Linked DNA regions of Ovis aries. The protein of the gene in region 2 interacts with the protein of the main gene of each other region in a pairwise test. Links are inferred from orthologs where the notes say so. Each region holds a gene or a part of one and is shown on either strand. Other genes may lie near its edges. The genes, in order: ZGPAT, TRIM27 and USP2.

What was found.
Region 1: the proteins of TRIM27 (region 2) and ZGPAT interact in binary tests that used the Homo sapiens proteins (3 or more experiments, as listed by UniProt). The two-hybrid records come from large-scale screens. The link is inferred for Ovis aries from reciprocal best matches to the Homo sapiens genes TRIM27 and ZGPAT.
Region 3: the proteins of TRIM27 (region 2) and USP2 interact in binary tests that used the Homo sapiens proteins (3 or more experiments, as listed by UniProt). The link is inferred for Ovis aries from reciprocal best matches to the Homo sapiens genes TRIM27 and USP2.

Annotation. Positions count from the first base shown.
Region 1 is NC_056066.1:53,737,890-53,741,369, reverse strand, and holds the end of ZGPAT (zinc finger CCCH-type with G patch domain-containing protein), read left to right. Parts: intron 1-932; coding exon 933-1,066; intron 1,067-1,284; coding exon 1,285-1,440; intron 1,441-1,977; coding exon 1,978-2,097; intron 2,098-2,186; coding exon 2,187-2,592; intron 2,593-2,720; coding exon 2,721-2,859; downstream 2,860-3,480. UniProt on the Homo sapiens protein: Transcription repressor that specifically binds the 5'-GGAG[GA]A[GA]A-3' consensus sequence. Represses transcription by recruiting the chromatin multiprotein complex NuRD to target promoters.
Region 2 is NC_056073.1:29,131,306-29,134,048, reverse strand, and holds the end of TRIM27 (zinc finger protein RFP), read right to left. Parts: intron 2,262-2,743; coding exon 1,666-2,261; 3' UTR 618-1,665; downstream 1-617. UniProt on the Homo sapiens protein: E3 ubiquitin-protein ligase that mediates ubiquitination of various substrates and thereby plays a role in diffent processes including proliferation, innate immunity, apoptosis, immune response or autophagy.
Region 3 is NC_056068.1:29,668,848-29,672,598, reverse strand, and holds the start of USP2 (ubiquitin carboxyl-terminal hydrolase 2), read left to right. Parts: upstream 1-875; 5' UTR 876-1,013; intron 1,014-1,908; exon of another isoform or gene 1,909-2,061; intron 2,062-2,146; exon of another isoform or gene 2,147-2,210; intron 2,211-3,037; exon of another isoform or gene 3,038-3,751. UniProt on the Homo sapiens protein: Hydrolase that deubiquitinates polyubiquitinated target proteins such as MDM2, MDM4 and CCND1. Isoform 1 and isoform 4 possess both ubiquitin-specific peptidase and isopeptidase activities.

The DNA.
Region 1 (3,480 bases), on a different chromosome or scaffold from region 2:
CTTTATTTGGCCAAGTTCAAAGTTGCAGCCCTCTGTTCCCACACTTCCTGTCCCACCTCCTCTCTCCTGGTTTTCGTTTTGGTGTCACTGTTTCAGTGACAAAGACAAGGCAGCACCATTACAACCAGGTCCTCCTAGTTGGCTGGGGAGGCCTCAGTCCTGCGAGTGACGCAAGCAGACCCCCTGTCTTGATGACCTGTTGTGTCCAGCGGAGAGGTGCCAGGGAACTGTTGTCGCAAGTGTGTCTCCCAGCCACATGTGTGCCTGTGTGTGGGTGACTCTAGCCCAGGAGGCTGGAGAGTAACCAGAAGCCTCTAGTCCTTGGGGCACCCAGGTCCATCTGAGAGAGCACAAGCACAGTGTGTGTGTCCATACGTGTGCATGTGTACGCACATGTGCATACACGTATCTGTGTGCTTGTGTGTAGTCAGTGTGTGTATGCCTGTGTATGGTGCATGTGTGGATGTCTGTGCCTCTGTGTCCATGCATGTGTGTACATACATGTGTGCATGAGTGCACTTATACGTGTGCCTGTGTATATATGTATGCGTGTATAGGTATGGGTGTGCATACACATTTATACACATGTTCAGTGTATACATCTGGGTGTGTGTACATATGTGCATGAGTATATTGCATGTGAATACATGTATATGTGTGTAGGTGTGTGTGCGTGTGATGTGTGTGTGTACATGTTGAGTGTATATGTGTGGATGTGTACATGTGTGTGTGGATGTTGCGTGTGTATACATGTGTTCGGTGTAGATGCGCATAATTGTGTATTATATGCGTGTCTGTGGATGTCTGTGTGGACCTATGTGTCCCTCTCTCCATTCATATCTCCATTGGACGGTGTCCAGGCAGGTAGACTGGATTATTTGGGCTTGTGGGACCCTGGTGGCCATACCTGAGTTATGCGGCCCTCTCTGCAGGTTCTCGCACGGGCAGGTAGTCTCAGTGGATGAGCTGCGCCCCTTCCAGGACCCGGACCTGAGCTCCCTGCAGGCTGGCTCTGCGTGTCTGGCCAAGCGGCAGGATGGTCTGTGGTACCCAGCACGGATCACTGGTGAGGCTGCCCCGGGGCCTCCCTGACAGGCCCTTCCCAGGAAGCCCTCTTCATGTGTCACATGTGTTAGTCCTGCGTGACTCCTCCTCTGGGTGGGTGTTGGGGTCCCACCCCACACATGAGAAGAGCAAGGCCCCCTTGGTTTTGGCCCCACCCTGCTCCCACCTTCCAGAGCGGCTACTTCCGTGTGCTGCCCTGCTGCCTCTGTGCCCCTCCAGATGTAGACAGCGGCTACTACACAGTCAAGTTTGACTCTCTGCTGTTGAAAGAGGCTGTGGTAGAAGGGGACAGCATCCTGCCCCCACTGCGCACAGATCCTGCAGGGTCCTCTGACTCAGACGGCAGCGATGCAGACGACCCCAGCTATGCTCGAGGTATGGCTGCTGCCACCCCCAAGAGGCTCCCGGCTGGCAGGGCCCACACTGTGGTCAGTACAAGGACACACTCCCGGGGAGACGAGGGTGTGTGATGGACCTGGGGCACGTCCAGAGACCCACAGACGCAGAAACCATAGTCCCACGCAAGCCGCGGGAGGGGATGGGATGCACAGGAAGGAACAGCTTCCTGCAGGGCACGGGGACCTGTTAGCTGGATGAAGGATCGGCTGTCAGTGTCTAGCCTCCCCCCAGGGGTGGGGGTGCCCACATGGGGTCTGTTAGCCGCATTGTCCATACTGATGGAGGGGAGGACTGCTCTCCACAAGGGAACAGGGAGTGTGGAAGGGTGCCATCCTGTGACCAGGTCGTGGAAATGGCTAGGCTCTGCCTTCTGCTTGTGCCACATGCCCTGGGCAGGGTGCTGGGGATGCTGGGGGCTGGTTGTGCAGAGCTGAGCTCTTGGGTTAGCCTTGGCTGGAGCCCAGGATCCTCTGCATCTAGCTGGGTTAAGCCACTGCCCTCTGATACCTGCAGTGGTGGAACCTGGTGCTGCCAACCCCGGGACCTGCAGCTCCGCTTTTGCCGGCTGGGAGGTACACACGCGGGGCATTGGCTCCAGACTCCTCGCCAAGATGGGCTATGAGTTTGGCAAGGGTGAGTGCACTTGTGCTGCCTGGGGACAGGAGGGACTCCACATCATGGCCCAGGGGTCCAGTGGCAATGCCAGCCTGGTGTTCCCCTAGGTCTGGGCCGTCGTGCAGACGGCCGGGTGGAGCCCGTCCATGCTGTGGTGCTGCCACGTGGGAAGTCACTAGACCAGTGTGCAGAAATCCTGCAGAAGAGAACCCGGGCTGGCCAGGCTGGTGTCAGCAAGCCCCCAAAGTGCCGGAGCAGAGGGAGTGGACCTGGGGGCCGCCCACCTCCTCGCAGTGTGTTTGACTTCCTGAACGAGAAGCTGAAAGGCGGGGCTCCAGGGGCCCCAGAGGTGGGGGCGGCACCCCCCGGGAGGAGTGGCAAGGAGGTATACCATGCCAGCAGGAGTACCAAACGGGCCCTGAGCCTGCGGCTCCTCCAGACCGAGGAGAAGATTGAGCAGACCCAGCGAGCCATCCGGGGCATCCAGGAGGCCCTTGCCCGCAACGCTGGCCGGTATGTGTGGCCCTGCCCCAGGCACCTCACCCCTGCCCAGCTTCCCCTGAGAGAGTTTGGGGGCGGCGGGCCGGGTCTGAGGAGGGGCTGGAGGCGGACGGCAGTGCTGAATGTGGGCCCCTCTCCAGGCACAGTGTGACAACGACCCAGCTGCAGGAGAAGCTGGCAGGGGCCCAGCGGCAGCTGGGGCAGCTCCGGGCCCAGGAGGCAGGCTTGCAGCGGGAACAGAGGAAGGCCGACACTCACAAGAAGATGACTGAGTTCTAGAGCCCTGCACGTGTTGTGGATGGAACTGAAGGGCCTCGGCTCCTGCTGCCCTCGGGCAGACAGCAGGGATGCCACCAGAAGGGCCAGCCTGCTCTGTGGCTACACCCCACAAAGGGCCTTCTTGCTGGCCTCCAGCACGTGGACACTGCTGAGCAGAAACAGGCTGCAGGGGCCCCTTCCTGATGCTTCCCTGCCCACTGAGTCCACCTGCCAGTGTCCTGGGGCGTCTCGTGAGCAAAGACATTAAAGTGACTTTGTCACAGTGTCTGATTTCATTGGAGGCTTGACTGGCTGTGGGGTCCTTGGGGAGTAGGGGTCTTTGCGCCAGGTCACAGGGCTGGGCTGGAGGGGTCCTGAGTGAGCCTGCTGCCCCTGCCCAAACCCAGAGCCAGGAGCCTCCTTGCTGCTCTCCCAGATGTGGGTCACAGCCTCAGATGCCCCCCCCCCCACAGTGCCTGACACCCACAAATGAGTGGAGCTGGTGCTGCAGTGGTGGGAGGAGACCTTGACCATGCTGGGCCTGGGGTAGCACTGTTAAGGGGGCAGGAGGACCCAGTGAGCTGGGGGTGTTATGCATGTCTCCTCACCCGCGCACCTGCCACTTCATGGGTGGAGGCAGTG
Region 2 (2,743 bases):
GAGACTATTCAGCAAAAGCTAACCTAGCCTCATGGAAGCCCCTCTCTGAAGCTCCTGGTTATTTCTCTTAAAACCTTTTGAATAAATAAATGAATCAGGACATATCACCAATGCATGATCTTCAGCCATGAACCACAATGTTGGGTACAAGACTAAGACCACAAAATCTTGTCATCTTGAGGTCATGTCCAAAAGCAGAAAAGATCGAAAACCTCCTGGAAAAGAGCTGTCCTCTCAGCATATTTTTCCTCCTTAGAATGTGGTGCCCTCCATGACCCTAAGGGCTTAGGCTGCTGCTTCTGAGGTGGGAAGCAAGCTCTGGGCGCTCTGATCTATACCAAGCATTGCTGCATACCCCACTGTCAGTTATAAGCACTTGAGAGAACACTTTTCCAGAGACGTGACAGGATTAGCCAATACAAAGCTGTAGGCTATGGAAGTCCAACACTAGTTTCCAAGCACCAGTAGAAAGCAGTGACATGGTACTGTTTTTATCATCCAGTTGAAAGTAAAATACTGACCAGAATGAGATTCTCAAACCATAGAGGTTAATAGTGTTGATTTCCTCCAATATCTATGAACCCAGTCCTACCAAGACCCAGAAAATAACAACAGTGTAAACAACATCCATACTCACTTTATTTTTAAACAGAGGAGCATGTACCCAAAGAAAGAGAAGACTAAGAACCATCATGGGGGCTTGTGCTAAGTGATCTGCCTTGGCTTTCTGACCTCAGAATGCCTCGTGATCCAATGGCCATAGGGATGGAATAGCCCCTTGATGGTACACACATCAGAAAGGTAAACTCCCTCTTCCCTTGAAATAGAAGGGAGAAATGGAGACAAGTCAATGAATCCCCTGGAATATTGCCCCAGAATCCTTCCAGGGATAGGGTATGACTGACCATCAGTCCACAAATGGAAGTGGGATGGGAGGTAGGAACAATGAGTGGTGTTGAGCAGAAAATAATCCCGGATGATGTGCATCCAGGACTAGGATACACTTTTCATTAGAATGAAGGGAGCTGACAAAGCCCTCAAAAAGATAGAGGCAAAGAGCACATTGATTAGAATATTATCTCCTAACAGAGGTGGGGCTATTTCCCACCATTACTGTAAAATAACTGTAACTAATCAAAACACATACAGGCCTCTTTAATGGAGTTAATAAAACTACAGCAGATTGGGAATCAGGGGTAGAGGTACTAATCCCAAAGGAAAAACTGGGACAAAGGGATCCATGCTGACAGGACTTTAGTCCAGCTGTGGGTTCTCAGAAAGAAGCCCTGGTTCAGAAACGACAGCAAATACCCATGATCACTATATGGGGCTGAGCCCAGGTGTAAGAATCTTGAATGGCTCTCCTAACCCAAGATTATCCATATTCTTTATCCCCTCCAGTAATGTATAAGACCAAGAAGTGTGGAACACTGGAGGTGGACATCTGGTTTTTATTTCTGGGCAATCTCGATAACTTATTACATCTCACAATTTTCATGGGAAGGGGGGGATGGCAGAGAACACAGACATCCTGTCTTGCACTGCAGGGCACGGAAAGTGGTAAGAACATCCAGCTGTGATGGGCAGGAAGTGGCAAGGCAACAAGATGCCTCATGCCTGGGGTGGGAGTACAGCCAGCAGCCCTTCTGGCCTGAGTTCACCTCCTCAAGGGGAGGTCTCCATGGAATGACCATGATTCCCAACATGGCCAGAAAACCCATCGATGCCACTCATGGGACAGATGATCAGAGGAGCTGCGCTCTTCCCTCCAGAGTAACTCAGACTGAAGTAGGGCCGGACAGGCCCACAGAAGGTAGCATGAGAGAAAGTAAAGGTGTGACACCTCTCTGTCACGTTGTAGAAGGAGACCTCGCCAGCATCATAGTCCAAGAAAATCCCCACCCGTTGGAGAGGGGTCCGCAGGGGGAGGGCAGTCATTGGGGAGGTGAGAGCCCAGTATTCTTTCCCATACCACAAGGACACTGCCCAGAATCCATTCTGGGGGGCTGAGGTTACCCCACCTTTTCTGCACACTGAGTCTTCACAGACACCTATGGTCCACTTGGCTTTATCTCCCACCTCTACCTCCCAATAGTGTCTCCCAGCGATGAAGCATGGAGAGCCCAAGACACAGGGAAACAGATTGAACCGCTCAGGGTTGTCGGGCAGGTCCTGCTGGAGGTAACTGTACCGCACTTGCCGCAGGTTATCAGAGAGGATCAGGCTGGGGTAGGCTGTGTCTGGGTCCAGAGTCACATCCACTGCAGAGAAATACAGGGGCAGAGGAGGATTAGCCAAGCACCAGGACAGCCCACTCTGAACACTCAGCTTTTCTCCTATCCCTGAGAAGAGAGTAAGAGCTCTCCAGCAAAGACACATTCATTTTATACATTTAAGTCCACCCTGAAGCTGACATTCCCAAAATTACTGTTTGGATTAGGTAGTTATCTCATTTAGCTAGGATATACTGGAAGTACTGAAATTTTTACCTTGCTTTTCCACATTTTAAACCACAATATCCGTTATAAGCTGAATTTAAGGTTTTCTTATGTGTATGTCCAACCCCTTAATCCGAAAGCCACAGGGTCCAGAAGTTTACAGTATTTAGACAGAGAGGGTGTGGTGTAGCACTCTACAACCAATACTAACAGATCTGCTGTGAAACATATGGATATTCACATTATATCAGATAAAGACACTAAATAGTGCCACATGCATCTGACAATCGTGGTGGTTTCCAGTT
Region 3 (3,751 bases), on a different chromosome or scaffold from region 2:
TTCAGCTATGTTTGTAGGCAGAACTTTAAGGATTTCCCTCCTGATTGCCTCCAGTTCCTCAGGGAAATAGAAGACAAGGAGGGACTTGGGAGAGTGGTAATGGACAAATGCCAGCTGCAGAGAACAAGAGAAGCAGCTAAGGACACTTGGAAGGACTGACGGTCCAGGTGAAACTGAAAACCTTGGACTTGCCTTGGCACCAATCTACCTGGCCGTGTGGTTTTCTTCACAGTAGAGGAAAGGGGGGAAAGTTATATACAAAGAATGGAAGTGACCCAAAAAATCAAGTTTCCTTTGGCTTTTTCTTGAAAGACAAAAAGAGAATCTCTTCTACTGACCCAGTGCCACCGTTTTACCCACTTCAGAAAACACCACCAGTCACTCGTCTCATGTTAGTAAAATAAGCAGAGAGTGTCTTAAAGAGTAGAGAAGGGAAGAGCCAGAAGAACTGGCCCTCTCCCAGTCGGGTGGGAAGGAGCTGGAACATTTAGCCTTCCCTAAAATCTGAAAGCTGATATGTACGCCCTGGGGTTCAACGCTGAGCCTTCTCCCCGTGACCCTTCCTCTTTCCCAATACCTTCCAGCTGTCCCGTCGTGTCATATTCAGGCCCACTTCAGGTACTCCAACCACCCCTTCCAAGCTCGCGTGCCTTTTCTCCACGTGGTTCTCTGTATATGTCGGTCGCCTGGGAGATCCTGGTCGGGCGGGGCTCTGATGACGTCATAATAGGAACAAGCCAATCGCCGTGACGCGTCTCAGTGACGCTAGACGCGAGGTGTGGCTTTGCCGGCCCCGGGCGCAATGAGGCGGCAGCCCGCTGGGTGGCGCCGATTTCCCGGGGAGGTCCTCTCTGGGCCCCCGGCGGAGGTGGGGTAGAGGCGGGCAAGAGCCGAGGCCAGGGAGCCCTCTGCGTCAGCGGCTGTTTACTGCGCCGCTCCAGTACCAGCCGGGACTCATCGGTAGCTCCATGCTTGTGCCCGGCTCGACTCATCCATCCTCAGAGAATAGGCAGGTACGTGCCACCTGTCGGAGACTGGGGAAGAGGGGATACGGAGGGCAGTGCCGTGTGAGGCTCTGAGAGTGAGGTGTCAACGACCGCCTGGGCAAAATGGGCACTAGAAATGTAGGGCAAGTGCCAGCTGCGCTGAGGATCTCCAGCTGTGGGTGCCAGTTGTGTGTGTGAGCCGACAGCTCAGGGTGCCAGGGAGAGCCATCTGTGTGCTGATCAGTGTGTTCTCAGGAAACGCTGCTTGGGCAGGACCGCATCTCCGAGCCCTGTGTGGGATGTGGCGGAGAGTGACGCCTGGGCCCTGGCAAACCCCTCCCCACGTGTGCGTGGCAGCCTTCTTACTCCCTCCTCTCAAAGCTCCTGGGGGCTTGTCTCTGATCAGTTTGCCAAAGAGGGGTAGGGGTGGGGGGGAGGGTAGTAGTTAAGTGGAAAAGGGGTAGATTTTCCACCAATCCCAAACAAGAAAGAGGCATCTTTGAAATTCTCACCAATCCCAAACCAGAATCAGGCACGCGATGCTCCAAGGCAAGTAACTTATACTCAACAGCCTAAGGAAGCCCATTCTGGCTGTCCTCTAAGGAGGAGCATCTACCTCCTGACCTGGCCGCTCTTAGAATGGAACTGAGCTGGAGATCCTGCCCATGCTCATCTCCCCAGGCACAGGCAGGAATAGGTCCCCAGAGTCCGACATGTACAGTGGAGGAAAGGAGAGCTGGTTGGGCTGGGGTTGGAGCAGCCACCATTCCTTTGATGCTGTAGATGATGCCAGACTGGAGTCGGAATGAGGACTGGAATGAGGGCTGGGGACGAGGGCGTCCTCTGAAGTGCATCATCAGGACCTGAGCTGAGTCAGTAGTCTCTGCTGAGACAGGGTGGAGGCACCATCCCGGGTACTCCCAGTCCTCAGGGACAGCCATCGAGAAACAGGAGGAACAGCTGGGAGCTGACAAGAGCACCAAGGTCCGAGAGGTTCAGAATCCTGCACCTTCCTCCTGTGACCCTGCCCAGCCAGCCTGGCTCTGTAGGCTCGGGATCCTGAACACTCCTCCAGGTAGAGTGGAACCACTCCAGAGCAGCCAGGCTTGCTCCTGGTAGCCTGGGGGAAGCTACACTTGCTATATATTTTTCTAGGTAGAGAAGGAAAGAGCCCAAGTGGGCCTGGCCCTCCTCTGATGGGTGGACTGCACATCTGGGAATAGGGTAAGCCTCATTTGCCTTGCCAGCTATGGGACACGGATCAGCTCGGAAAACCATGGCAGTTTTCTGACATGAGAACAGGGCACTCCCACGGGGTGGCCTGGAGGAACCTTTTCTCACTAGCAAGGTTCACCTGACAAATGCTACCACTAATTAGAAGTGGAAGTATTTGATCTAGTAGTGATTATCATTTATTGAACTCTTACTATGTGCCAGGAAATTAACAAGCATTATTTAATCCTCACCTCCATGAGGTATATCATTATTATTACTCCTGTTTTAAGACTAAATAAGGTTTGGACCACTTAAATGACCGCTTAAATGTCTCTGAGGCAATAAAAAGGAAAGACTTGGAATACAAGCCCAAGCCTAGAAGTCCATTATAAAAGAGCTTGAACTGGAAACCTGAGAGAGGTCCCTTCTGCCTCTCCCTGCTTCTGTGTCCTTGAGGGAGCTGCTGTCTGCCTCCAGGTCTCCTCCATCTCAGAGCTAAAGGAGGTGGACTGGGGCTTCTTTCTCTTCTCTACTTCTGTGACTGACACCTCCTTCTCCATATTTTTGCCTAATTCCACCCCCATCCCTCTACCCTCTTTCCAGTTCTGCTTCCCCTTGAATCCCCCTTCTGTTCCATTTCAAAATGCTCCCTGCAAACAGTCTCCCAGGATCTCCTTGCCTGGCACCCACCTCGAGAGGGAGGGCCTGCCACTGCCCCTTTAATTCTCCCTGGGCTCAGAATGCCAGCGAGTGGAGCTAGCCATCTCCATGAGGTCAGATAAGATACTATATATATCGAGTCAGTAACCTGAGCCCCGGATTACCCGGCCCAAGTCAGACTCCTGCTTCTGGGCTCGCCACTGCACTCCCTGCCCTGCCGGGGAAGGAGAAGCCCCCAGATCCTGCCCAGTGTCCCCGGACACAGGTCGGTAACTGCTCCTTTGGTATCCGAAATTCACAGGGCCGTTGTCCCTAGGGCCCTGGACTGTCTGTTTGAGGGATCCCTGTCTGTTTGGGGGAGCATGTGAGAGGCCACCCCACCAGGCCTGGAGGTGCTATGGGCAAGACCCAGGGGCAGAACCAAGGGCTGGGAGGCCAGGAGGAGGAAGCTGAAGCCCTGGAGGAGAGGGAAGGAGCCTGGGGCTCTCCCCTGGGGTAGGGGTTCCAGGAGAGTGCCTGGGACAGTCGTGGTTAGAAAACAGAATTTAAGAATTCCAATACTGCCTGGGGGCCCCATATCTTTGCCTTTTCTTGGAGGTATAGAGATGCCAACCCCCTCCCAACCCAAATGAAGGAGAACCCTGAAGAGACACTGCGTTAAGCCCACCCACCTCTTCTCCTCCAGGCGGAATTCTGGTTTTAATCTCCAGTCTCTTTATTTTACCTCTTTTGCCCGTCCCAGCCCTTGAGTAACTGTTGGGATCTAGAGAAACTGAGAGGGACCCAATCCCCTTGATGACCCCCGGCCAAGGCCTATCAGGCACTAAACTGGTGGGTCAGAGGGTGCCAGCCCAAGAGGTAGAGCCGCTAGCTCCAGGCTGAGGCTCCTG